Linked DNA regions of Saccharomyces cerevisiae S288C. The gene in region 3 interacts genetically with the main gene of each other region. Each region holds a gene or a part of one and is shown on either strand. Other genes may lie near its edges. The genes, in order: MSH4, PXP1 and TRP3.

Region 1 (5,221 bases), on a different chromosome or scaffold from region 3:
CAGCGAATAATTGGGAAAGTTTCATGTTCGTTTTGGTACGATATTGATTACGTAGGTATTTGAAGTCACCGGATAGACCTTTAAGTATTAGTTGACAGGCCAATCTGTCGCTAACATTGATATTGTTTTCTTTTAGCCTCTGAATGATCGTACTGACTGTAATTTCAAATGTATCAGCAGATGTACTTCCGTCGTACTCAAGGTTGGCAAGAGCTATCCAATCCTTTAATTCTTGATTGTTAGTTTGCATTTTGGACACACTTTTACAAAGGACTGTAAGGATGTCAGCATAATTAATTTCTAAAATTTGTTTTACCCATGTTGGCAATAAATGAAATGGGGCAAATGCTTGGAAGGTATTGTATATATACGCATGTTCTTCATAAGTCATTTGACTTTTGATTTCACCCTGGTCATTTGGAATGATGTCACCGAGATTAGAGTTCTTCAAAAATCTGATGTAAAATTTAACCCATGTAGAAAAGTTTTCTTCTGATGTTAAAGTGTGTGGTGGTAAGACGTTATTTCTCACCTTTGTCTCAGCTTGAGGTACTTCAGAGTGTTGATTCTGTGAATCGATTGGATCAGGTGAGGAAGTACTCAGTGGTGGGATATACTGTGGCAACGGATAGTGTGGGTCCGGTTGATAATACGCAGGTGACGTTTGATAATGTGAACACGTCATCATAGACGGTTGTTGGTAATGTGCCCAGTTAGAGGCCATAGCTTTGTTTGGGGTCATCATGCCGTGCTGTTGGTACTGTCCATTCTGTGGAGGTGGTACTGAAGCAGGTTGAGGAGAGACATGATGATGGTTCTCTGGAACAGCTGATGTCCCAGGTGTTGTCTCTTGTTGAGAATTAACCTTAGTGGAATCTCTATCAAATTCCGGTAAATTGGAAGCTGAAACGGCTAACGGATCTTGATTTGATGGGACTTCCTTAGAAGTAACCGAAGCATAGGCGCTACCATGTAGAGAATGTGGATTTTGATGTAATTGTTGGGATTCCATTTTTGATAAGGCAATAATATTAGGTATGTAGATATACTAGAAGTTCTCCTCGAGGATTTAGGAATCCATAAAAGGGAATCTGCAATTCTACACAATTCTATAAATATTATTATCATCATTTTATATGTTAATATTCATTGATCCTATTACATTATCAATCCTTGCGTTTCAGCTTCCACTAATTTAGATGACTATTTCTCATCATTTGCGTCATCTTCTAACACCGTATATGATAATATACTAGTAACGTAAATACTAGTTAGTAGATGATAGTTGATTTTTATTCCAACATATACAGAATATGCTAGAAGTTCTCCTCGAGGATTTAGGAATTCTCAAAATGGAATCCATATTTCTACATACTAATGTTAGACTATTCCGTTTTATATGTTTCATTATCCTATTACATTATCAATCCTTGCATTTCAGCTTCTTCTAACTTCGATGACAGCTTCTCATAACTTATGTCATCATCTAACACTGTATATGATAATATATTGAATAACTATTAGTTGATAGATGATAGTGGATTTTTATTCCAGAGGTTTGCGATGCCTTTGAGAAATCAGGATTGTTTTGGTATGGGATGACATTGTTTTACGTAGTCTATTCCGTTTTAAGAGTTGCAGAACTCAAAAGTGACTGACTCCATGGCCAAGTTGGTTAAGGCGTGCGACTGTTAATCGCAAGATCGTGAGTTCAACCCTCACTGGGGTCGTTTTTTTATTCAAAATCAGTTTCTAAGATTTAGATTTTATTGTATCATATCTTTTTCCATACTGAAATCGATTAAAGTTTTTATGTGTTGCATCTGTATGAGAGCAAAATCTTATTTAGTCTCCTCTTTTCTGCTATGAACCAGTTTATTATTTTTTTTTAATTCGCGTCTTCATTTCCTTTTCAAATCCCGAACGTACAGCTTTCATACATATAAGGCATCAACGAAGAATAGCAAAAGAGCAGTTGGATTTTACTTAAAGTGAAACATATAAAAATAACTAGTTATAGCATTGAAATCTGTAGCTGATCAACGCAAACTATATGCAATGAGTGAATCTAATCTATCTAGTTTTATCAGTACAAATTATTTCAATTTAAGGTCGGCGGCTAATTCTTCAAACTCTATTTCGAAGCCAAGTACGAAAAAGAGTATCAGGAACCAAAAATCGCCAACTAACATAAGTAGTTGGGCTCTCAAAAAGAAAACGCTACAAATAGCAGAGACAACATGGGAAAACAATGAAAAAGATTCAACACATAGCCATTACTTAATGACTGGATCAATGGCCTCTAGGACCGCAACCTCCTTAAGTCGATACAGCACCAACGCTTCACTCCTCGGTCCTAGTATTGACTGTGTTCTTTGTTGCATATACGAAGTGCCAAGAGACATAAGTACGCGGATTGGGTTATGTATTATCAACTGTAACACGGGACAGATGTATCTTTCAGATTTCATGGATTCACAAATTTACATTCGTGTAGTTCATAAACTCCAAATTTACCAACCTACGGAAATACTGATTCCAAGCAGTTCTCTAGCTCCAACAGTATCAAAATTAGCGACAATGATAAAATTTAATGTGGCCGAGACAGTTAAAATTGAAGAGGGTTCACGAAAGTGCTTCAATAGCCAAGATGGACTGGCGGCGATTACAAAGTATTTAATGGATGATACAAAAAAGGACTTGAAAATCGAGGAGATTATAGATAAAACGTTTGCTCTTTGTGCTGCATCTGCTGCGATAAGCTACATGGAAGAGATTATATCCAAAAGCAGCCGAAATTTGAATGCGTTTCGAAAACTACGTATACAGTTTGAAGGAACAGAAAATACAATGCTGATTGATTCTAAAACCGTCAGAGGTTTAGAACTTGTAGAAAATAAATTGGATAAGAATGGCATATCACTATGGAAGTTCTTGGATACCACGTCCACTAAAATGGGACAAAGATCACTTCGGAACAGTATACTGCAGCCATTAACTGATAGGGGCAGTATCGAAATGAGACTAGAGGCCCTAGAAGAATTGAAAGCCAATGATGACCTTCTACAAAAATTAAGGCTAGAAATGAAATCATTGCCTGATCTAGATAAGTTATTTTCAAGGTTATTATGCATTAATCATTCTGCAATAAAACCTGACCAAAGAATTAATTACGTTTTGTTGCTAAAGGAAACTTTACAAAGCGTGAAGTCATTGAAAGACGCACTTAATGATCAGTTAATTCAAAGCCGTTTAATTAGCGAGACCAAAAAAATATTCAATAATGACGCAATTATGGAAATTGAAAAATTAATTAATAGTTGTATAAATGAAGACTGTGTCTGGGCATCCTCAGCTATACAACTACTTAACCAACGTTCATATGCTGTGAAAAGTGATTCCAATGGGCTTTTGGATGTTTCTAGACAAATCTACAAAGAGGTAAAAGAGGAATTTTTTCGTGAGGTAGAAGATCTTACCGCTAAAAACAAAATCAATTTAGATCATAATTACGATTCTGCACGAGGCTTTTATCTCAGAATAAAAAGACAGGAATTTACCGATGACGTCGCTACACTTCCAGACGTATTCATTTCAAGAACAATAAAAAAAAATTATATTGAATGTACAACCCTAAATATAATAAAAAAAAATGCGAGGTTGAAGGAAGTTATGGAAGAGATTTTACTTTTAAGTGAAGAGACAGTTGATGAACTGCTCGATAAAATTGCAACCCATATTTCTGAACTATTTATGATTGCAGAAGCAGTGGCTATCCTGGATTTGGTTTGTTCATTCACATATAATTTGAAAGAAAATAATTACACAATACCGATTTTTACAAACAATCTACTAATTCGAGATTCAAGACACCCACTACTTGAAAAGGTACTAAAAAATTTTGTCCCTAACACCATATCAAGTACAAAACATAGCTCCAGCTTACAAATCATAACCGGATGCAACATGAGTGGAAAATCTGTTTATTTAAAACAAGTTGCCCTTATTTGCATAATGGCCCAAATGGGATCAGGTATACCGGCACTTTATGGGTCTTTTCCTGTCTTTAAACGTCTACATGCAAGAGTCTGCAATGACAGTATGGAATTAACCTCATCAAATTTTGGTTTTGAAATGAAAGAAATGGCTTACTTTTTAGATGACATAAATACAGAAACACTGTTAATTTTAGATGAACTTGGTCGTGGTTCAAGCATCGCTGATGGGTTTTGTGTGTCTTTGGCAGTAACTGAACATTTACTTCGAACGGAGGCAACGGTATTTCTTTCTACACACTTCCAGGACATTCCTAAAATAATGTCTAAGAAGCCAGCAGTTTCCCATCTTCATATGGATGCAGTCCTTCTCAATGACAATTCTGTCAAAATGAATTATCAGTTGACCCAGAAATCTGTCGCAATAGAGAATAGTGGAATAAGGGTGGTAAAAAAAATATTCAACCCGGATATTATTGCAGAAGCGTACAATATCCATTCGCTTTTGAAAATTGCAAAAGCAAGGACTGAAAACGAAGATTCAAATGGCGTTGTTGATCAAAAGACCATAAACCAAATGAAGAGAATACACAATCTTGTAGCGATATTGAAAGAATGTGCAGGAAATGAAAAAGAGCCCTTGACTTTAGGGAAATTAAAAGAAATAAACTCCGACTTCATCGAAAATTTTGAAGAATAATTTGGCTTTTCCGCTTAGCTTAAAACTATAATCCATTATTTCTGTACAGAGTTATCAAAAACCGGAGAAAATGATGTTTATGTAAATGCATTGATATTTATGAATGATTTAAAACTTCCCCTTAAATGTGATTTCTAAAAGTAAGCAATTGTTAGCAGATGATAATTTTTTGCTACACATTACAAACATAAAAACACATGGTCTCAGTAGATAGAGTACATATTCTAATCACTGCTTGGCCCCATTAACTTGAATAGATAATTTTGAAGTGGCCTTAATACTTCTGGTATTCTTTCAGGAACTTCTAAATTCTGTATTTGCAACTCTTGACGAGACTTTGCTGCATTTCTAAACGCCATAACAAAATTAACCACTAAAGTGACAAATAAAACTATAGAAACCAAAACTGGACCAAGTGGTGCATCTAGATGTTGACCGCTTCTTTGTTGAATAATATCAACTCTTTTCATATAAATGGAATAGGACCATAAAGCACAGAATATCGTTAGACCAAAATATACGTATG
Region 2 (3,955 bases), on a different chromosome or scaffold from region 3:
TCCCAGCCGCGAGCACCACAGCGTACCATGTGCGCCACGAGGCCTCAAACGTAAAACAATCGAAACGAAAAGAAACAGACTATAGGGGAGTATAGAGACAGCCGGCCAATAAGAAGAGGAAAAAGAAATACTAGCGTTTATCAATGTGGGTCGTTAACATATCCTGTTGACAATGATTACAGGTTAAAAGGTAGCGTAAGTGAATATTAACTATGGATATTCTTATACTTAGATAAGAGACATATAAAACACACGATGATTGATTGATTTTTATGACCAATATATGTAATTCGTAATTCAGATAGTTTTTATACTTTTAATGTGTGCCGAACCATATTACTAGTATATGTAACTACCATGTTATGTTCAATTGGCAGATCTTTAACTCGGCTTTAGTTATCCAAGTTACTTGCAATATTTCCTTCTGCGAGAGTACATTTGCCCTTAAACGTATACGAGGTATTCATTAATGTGTGTTGTAAGTATTTAGATTGACATCTATAAGAGAGATGAACATATATATATATATATATATATATATACATGCATATTTACTATAAACGCGGTTTATTCTGCCAGGCAAAGGCAATTTGCTTTTGTTCGCCAGGCTCAATGATAACGTTGATGACACTTGTTTCTCTTTTAGTCCGAGAAAGCTGCACGGCTTGTTGGAAGCATCTGCTCAGTTCGCTTATTGTGTTGACAAAAAAATCATTGGCACCCAGTCCTTTGCCTACGAGATCGTAACGGCAGTTCTTGCTTAGTGCCGTTGGAGGTAAATCACCCTCTATATCCTTTTCTCCATGGTAAATACCGCTATTGTTCATCACAACGATGACCAATGCCAGCTGACACCTTACTGCCGTTTCAATTTCCATGGCAGAGAATCCAAATGCGGAATCACCCTGAATCAGCACCACATCGAGTTCCGGATGAGATGCCTTGCATGCAAGAGCATATCCGAGCCCAATCCCCATAGTCGCGTTGGTCCCTGCGTCTAAACGGCGCCTTGGAGCGTCTGTAGGGAATGAAATACGCGCAATATCCATAGTATTTGCTCCCTCCGTCACAAGTATTGTCCTGTAATCATCGATAAGAGGCCTCAATGTTCCATAAACCTGGTTGTAATTCAATTGTGCCCCTCTAGTCTTCTCTTTCCTCAATAGACGAGTTTGATTCAGTTGAATTTTCTCTCGTATTTCTTGCTTAACACCACTATACTTCCAGCAGGAATCTTGGCGAGTCAATTCCTCAACTAAAGCGGTTACGCTCAAGCCTATATCTCCCCATATGGAAAGGTCAGCACCAGGTGAGACATTGTTATCCCCCAAGGTTTCGGGATTGGAATCGAACTGGATGAATATGGATTCTGAGTTCCATTTGGGTGAAGTACCAAAATGCAATATCCAGTTTAATCTTGCCCCGAGAACAAGAACAATATCCGCTATTTTCAATGCTTGAGATCTTGCAGATGAAACGTTCAGTGGAGAAGAGTCTGGGACAATTCCCTTAGCCATTGGGGTGGGTAAAAATGGTAGATTGAACGTATTTACTAGTCTGCGGATTTCGTGTGAGTTTTTTACCGCACCCTTTCCAATAACAATCAGAATATTTTTATTTTTATGTTGCAAAATAAGCTGTACGACTTTTTTGATCTTCGACGGATCAGGGCCACATATGTTTGGAGTTAATATCATCGGTAATTCATTTCCTGTACGGTCGTTTCCTTCTAAGGGTTTTTCATACTCAATAAAATCTGCAGGGACGTCTATGTAAGAAACCCCTGCAGTGCCTTGTATACAGTAATTCAAAGCCTTCTGAGTAATCATGTCAATATTGTCAGGGGTTAACTTTCCGGTAAACTTCAAAAATGGGGACAAAAGACTAACTTGATCCAACTCTTGAAACCCGCCTTTATGTATATCACTTTGAGAAGAACTCCCTGCAATTACTAGAAGAGGCCACCTATTACTCATTGAGTTGTATATACCAGCCAGTGCGTGGATTAAACCGGGGCCCCCGACAATAAGTAACACGCCGGGCTTATCACTAATATAACCATAAGCAGAGGCTGCATATGAGGCAGCCTGTTCGTTCCTGCATGGAATGAATTTGATACCGTTGGCAACCATCGTATCCGCTAGTTGGACAATAGGGATGCCCACAATTCCAAAGACTGTGTCGATGCCATATTTTTGTAAAAGTTGAGCGAAGTGTTGGGTAGCGGTCGTGGTCATATTGATGGATGGTTGTGACGGTTTGAATGTAGAGAGTATATTCTTCTTATCACATAAAAGTAACCAATGCCTTTTTTTTCCTTTATATATAATGTGGTTATATACCAACCTTTTGTAAATTTCCAACTTTTTTCTTTAGTTAGCTTTGCTTGAACTTCGGGCCGAAGGGCTCGGATAAGAGAAACAATAATTTTGTTTTCATAAAACATCGATGGCTTGACTACTTCTTTTATCCTGTTCCTGAGATTCTTTCATCTTGGCGATCTTACACCTTAGTTCCATAATAGGGTCTCTTACAAAATCCCTCATTGAAACGACTTGAGAACACGCTGCTTGCGGGCAATCTCTTGTCGTGTATCCTTGTAAATAGTTTTGAATGCCGTCTCTATCGAAGACGTGATTACATTTTCTTGATATCAATGGTGCTTCGTAAGGTTTGCAGGTGATAGGACAAGTCAATTCAATTTTACCACCTTCTATTTGTAGATCGTCTTCGTCTGCGGGGTTTTGCAGATCCGGTATTACACAAGTTGGATCATTCCATATGTACGGCAACACTTTTAGTATCTTGAGTGTATCTGTGTTATTAACCATGGTTGCAGGCTCTGGTGTGGGCATATTTAGATATAATTCAGATAATTTGGGAGCGGTGAGTTCTCCGGTACGATATTTATCCCAGGTAGAAAGGTCGATTTGCGGACAGGCATCTGAGGATTGTTTGAAATTTTTTTTTAAATCTTTAATATGTTCGTCAAATGAGTTGGATTCCGATTCGTATGTCGAGAGGAGTTTGTAGGTGCTAGTAATATCTGCGACCTGCTCTTCAATGCCGATGGTGGAAGGAGATGTAGAATCCACTAATTGATTTATGGTCTCATCAATTTGTTTGTAGCATTGTTGATATATATTTGATAAGTCTCGGGCATGTAAATTATGGAAGTACTTACCTGATTTTGGGTGTAGAGGAACTGACTTGGGTATAGGATTATCGTTCAAGGCCATTTTTAAAGTTATTCTTTTTTTATATAGTCTTGCCTTGGTTTCTTTAACTGACACGATTATTTTAGCAAGTTTTTTTCTACACAGGAAAAGAGGAAGAAAATAACCAGAGAAGCACTGGTAAAAAGATACTTCTGCGTGCCGGAGTAACCAGAATCAAAGGAACGCATAGATGGATAAAGAGGTAAGTGAATTGGTAGTGTTGCAGCTAATACACACTTTAATTTCCAACAAGAATGAAGAACTGGTTAGGAACGGGGGAGGAATCAACATGATTGGGAATAATCTTCGAATATCGCTAGTCAAGTTGACTAACGAAATACAAAACAATTTGCTAATCAACGAGCTGACAAATTTAAGAAGGCAAAGCAACGTGGCAAATGGAAACAGGAAACTGGGCATCAACGATATCCTGACCATAGTTAAGAATTTATTCCCAGAGTACAGAACAACACTAAACGATGGACAACTTAGTCTACACGGTTTGGAAATGCATGATATCGAGAAGCTCCTTGACGAAAAGTACGATCGATTCAAGAAAACGCAGGTCGAACAAATAAGGATGATGGAGGATGAGATATTGAAGAACGGTATAAAGACCGGTGCATCGCAACTGCAACCACATGCAAATGCTGGCAAAAGTGGATCTGCTGGTACCAGTGCTACTATAACTACGACTACGCCACACATGGCGCATTCAATGGACCCAAAAAGAGAAA
Region 3 (3,711 bases):
ATTCCCCGACAGAAGACCAGTGTATATTCAGCTGATCCCAATGATCATTTGCGCAGCCTTGACCGTTTTAGGTGCTACGATATTTTTTCCTAAAGATAGATTTACCAGCAGTAAGAATTTGCTGTATTTTGCAGGTGCGTCGATTGTCTTGGCGCTTTCAACCAAATTCATGTTTAAGAACGGTATTCAGTTTGTCAACTGGCCTAAGTTAGTAGACGTTGGGTTCTTGGTCGTTCATCAAACGCATGATAAAGAACAACAATTCAAAGGTTTGAAATATGCACAGAGTCCTAAATTTTCCAAGCCGGATCCTTTAAAAAGAGATTAATGAGTTCTATATGTGATAAAATGATGATTATTGTAAATCCAAAACGTAAAACCGAAAATATGATAAAAACGAGAAAAAAAGTAAGTTAAAAAATAAAAAAATAAAAAAATGAACGCCGGCCCCAGAGGGAAGAACAAGCTATTTATTTTCTTTTTTACTTTATCTTTCATGGTCATATATATATATATATATATATATATATATCTTCTATAGGCTACTATACATGAAGGCGTTCGCCCTTACAACGTTAAGTTTTTTTCCCTATTGTACCGTGTAAGTTTCAATTATTCGCATAATTCATGAATGAACTTCTTCACATCGGTTGATTTCATTAGGGCTTCACCCACTAAAAATCCATGGACACCTTCTTTTTTGTATTTTTCAGCATCGTCCCTGGTGGTAATTCCCGATAGAGCAATTAGAAGAACATCCTTTGGAATAGATTCTACCAAGTTACTGGTGGTATTTAGGTCTACGTTGAATGAATGCAGGTCCCTATTATTGACACCTACAACTTTAGCACCAATTTCTAGAGCCCTTTGTAATTCCTCTTTGGAGTTCACCTCAACGAGAGGTTCCATGTTCAAATCTTTACTGTAGCTGTACAGTTCCTTCAATAAGGGTTGAGATAGCATCTTGACTATAAGAAGGACAGTGTCAGCTCCAGCTAATCTTGCTTCTAGTATTTGATACTTGCTGAAAATAAATTCTTTTCTCAAAACACAAGGCCTCTCCTTGGGAGGAAATTTCAAATCTAGGATTTTCCTCACATTTACTAAATCCTGTAACGAACCGTGAAACCAATGAGGTTCGGTCAATACGGAAATTGCGGATGCACCAGCCTCTGCGTATTTGAGAGCCTGTTCAGCAGCAACAGCTTTTAAACAAATGGGTCCCTTCGATGGAGAGGCACGCTTGACTTCAGCAAGAACAACGGCTCTTTTATGGGATGATGACAACACCGTGTAGAAATCCTGTAACGGTGGGGCAAGACCTAAATCATAGTTAGATTGTAAGTCTTGAAAGGTGAAACCTGGGATTTTAGACTGCTCATTGACGTCTATTTTACGCCGAGCATAGATACGGTCCAAAATAGAATTTGAAGGAGATGATTTGTTTTCCTCCCAAGTGCCTCCACTGACGTTTAAAATGTTCCTGATCATCAGATGACCTTCCTCGGTCAAGATGGATTCCGGATGAAATTGCACACCTTCTACAGTGTACTTCTTGTGTCTTACACCCATGATAATTCCATTTTCGGTACTCGCAGTAACCTTCAAGCAGGATGGTAGGGACGATTCTGTCCCGGCCAATGAATGGTATCTTGTCACAGCAATACCTTGCGGCACGTTCTTGAAAATTCCACAGTTGTCGTGAGAGATTGGGGACGTTTTACCGTGGACAATCTCACCAGCGTAGGCAACTTCACCACCAAATACGTCAAACATGCATTGCTGGCCCATACAGATTCCAAATACAGGAATTTTCCCAGTAAAGTACCGGATACAGTCTCTTGAAATGCCAGAATCTGTCTTTGGGTGGCCTGGTCCAGGCGAGATAAGCAATGTGTCGGGATTCAAGGCGGCAATTTCTGGAACTGTAATTGCATCGTTACGGTAGACGCTCACTTTGGCGCCCTCCTGGCACAAGTACTCGTAAACGTTCCAGGTAAAGGAATCGTAGTTGTCAATTAGAACCACATGCTTATTGATTGGGTTTGTTGCAGCGTGCACAGACATTTTTTTCTTACTTTTATGGCGTTCTATGTAGAACCAAACAGATTTGGTAATGTGTTAATACTGACCAGCTCCTTGTCGAACTTTTTGCGTACCTTAATATCTGCTATAGATTAGAATGAGTCAACGAGCCATTGATGATCATTCAATGATTACTACAAGAGGCATTTTCCGTCGTCAGTGATATGAATAGCACGGTGAGGTCCAGAAGAGATAGTAGGAAGTTTAATACTGGCTCAAAGGCATACTTATATCGACAAGCTAAGCGCAAATACTACTTTGTGGTACATCATCAGCATTGCTTTCGAGAAAACAGCATTTAAAATCAGCCATTTGCTGCGCTTTCTTTAAGCCCTAACAGAAAATAGTTCAAAAAGGCCTATAAGAAGCAAAAAAAGTGAAAAATACGAAAAAATACTCCAGCGGAGGAGTATAAAAGGGAGGAAAATACAAAATGTAGTTGTGTTGTTACGCATCTCAAAGAAGAAAGAAGAAGAAGAAGAAGAGGACGTCGCACTTGCAAGCAAAAACAGCGACTGGCGCGAGAACAACAAACACTAATGCATGTCTCTGTCCAGCAGGAAAAGCGAGCCTTAGTGTTTCTTATTTTCTCGTTCGCCTCACTAGTTTGTAGTAGGGTGGGAGAAACGATGGAGTGGATTGTATGATGAGGAACCAGATAGGGACAACAGATTCTCAAGTGACGAGGAACATCTTTTAAAGCCCAGTTTTTAGTAGAGCTTAGGGCGCCTTTACTGACTATCCACTCCTTGTTAAGCTATGATCTTGTATTCATGTGATTGTAAATAATATTAGAGCTCTTTCTTGAATTGCCATTACGCTTCCATGCGGCATATTCTCGTGTAGTGTGACAAAAGGTGCGGGTGGCAAATAAAGGTAAAAGAAAATGATCAAAAAGGGCCTTTAAGTAGGATGAGCAACCGCCAATCGCTGGATATAAGCAAACAAAAAGTAAGATTAGTAGCAAAGCAAAGAACATATAACTATAGCTATGAGCAGCAATAATAGTGGTCTCTCTGCCGCCGGAGAAATCGATGAAAGTCTTTATTCTCGTCAACTTTATGTGTTGGGTAAGGAAGCAATGTTGAAAATGCAAACCTCCAACGTATTAATTCTCGGCTTGAAGGGGCTAGGTGTTGAGATAGCGAAGAACGTTGTGTTGGCAGGTGTCAAATCTATGACCGTTTTTGACCCTGAGCCGGTTCAATTGGCAGACTTATCAACCCAATTCTTTTTGACCGAAAAGGATATTGGTCAAAAGAGAGGAGATGTGACCAGAGCCAAATTGGCAGAGTTGAACGCATATGTCCCGGTTAATGTGCTGGATTCCTTAGACGATGTTACCCAATTGAGTCAATTCCAGGTCGTTGTCGCTACGGACACTGTTTCTTTGGAAGATAAGGTGAAAATCAACGAATTTTGCCATTCCTCCGGTATTAGATTCATTTCCTCGGAGACAAGAGGGCTGTTTGGTAACACCTTCGTAGACCTAGGTGACGAGTTCACAGTGTTGGACCCAACGGGTGAAGAACCTCGCACTGGTATGGTTTCAGACATCGAGCCCGATGGAACAGTGACCATGCTAGATGATAACAGACACGGGTTGGAAGACGGAAATTTTGTCAG

The links.
Region 1: mutations in TRP3 (region 3) and MSH4 together harm fitness more than expected from each alone (negative genetic interaction), as found in Saccharomyces cerevisiae (2 studies listed by BioGRID).
Region 2: mutations in TRP3 (region 3) and PXP1 together harm fitness more than expected from each alone (negative genetic interaction), as found in Saccharomyces cerevisiae (2 studies listed by BioGRID).

The regions. Positions count from the first base shown.
Region 1 is NC_001138.5:133,995-139,215, reverse strand, and holds MSH4 (MutS family protein MSH4), read left to right. Parts: upstream 1-2,058; coding exon 2,059-4,695; downstream 4,696-5,221. Other genes in the region: YFL002W-B (gag protein), read right to left, coding at 1-1,012; VTC2 (vacuolar transporter chaperone), read right to left, coding at 4,920-5,221. UniProt on the Saccharomyces cerevisiae protein: Involved in meiotic recombination. Facilitate crossovers between homologs during meiosis.
Region 2 is NC_001137.3:118,063-122,017, forward strand, and holds PXP1 (putative indolepyruvate decarboxylase family protein), read right to left. Parts: upstream 2,238-3,955; coding exon 555-2,237; downstream 1-554. Other genes in the region: SUMO ligase MMS21, read right to left, coding at 2,436-3,239; EAF5 (Eaf5p), read left to right, coding at 3,409-3,955. UniProt on the Saccharomyces cerevisiae protein: Catalyzes a carbon-carbon cleavage reaction; cleaves a 2-hydroxy-3-methylacyl-CoA into formyl-CoA and a 2-methyl-branched fatty aldehyde.
Region 3 is NC_001143.9:36,087-39,797, forward strand, and holds TRP3 (bifunctional anthranilate synthase/indole-3-glycerol-phosphate synthase), read right to left. Parts: upstream 2,068-3,711; coding exon 613-2,067; downstream 1-612. Other genes in the region: phosphatidylinositol-3-phosphatase SAC1, read left to right, coding at 1-328; E1 ubiquitin-activating protein UBA1, read left to right, coding at 3,077-3,711.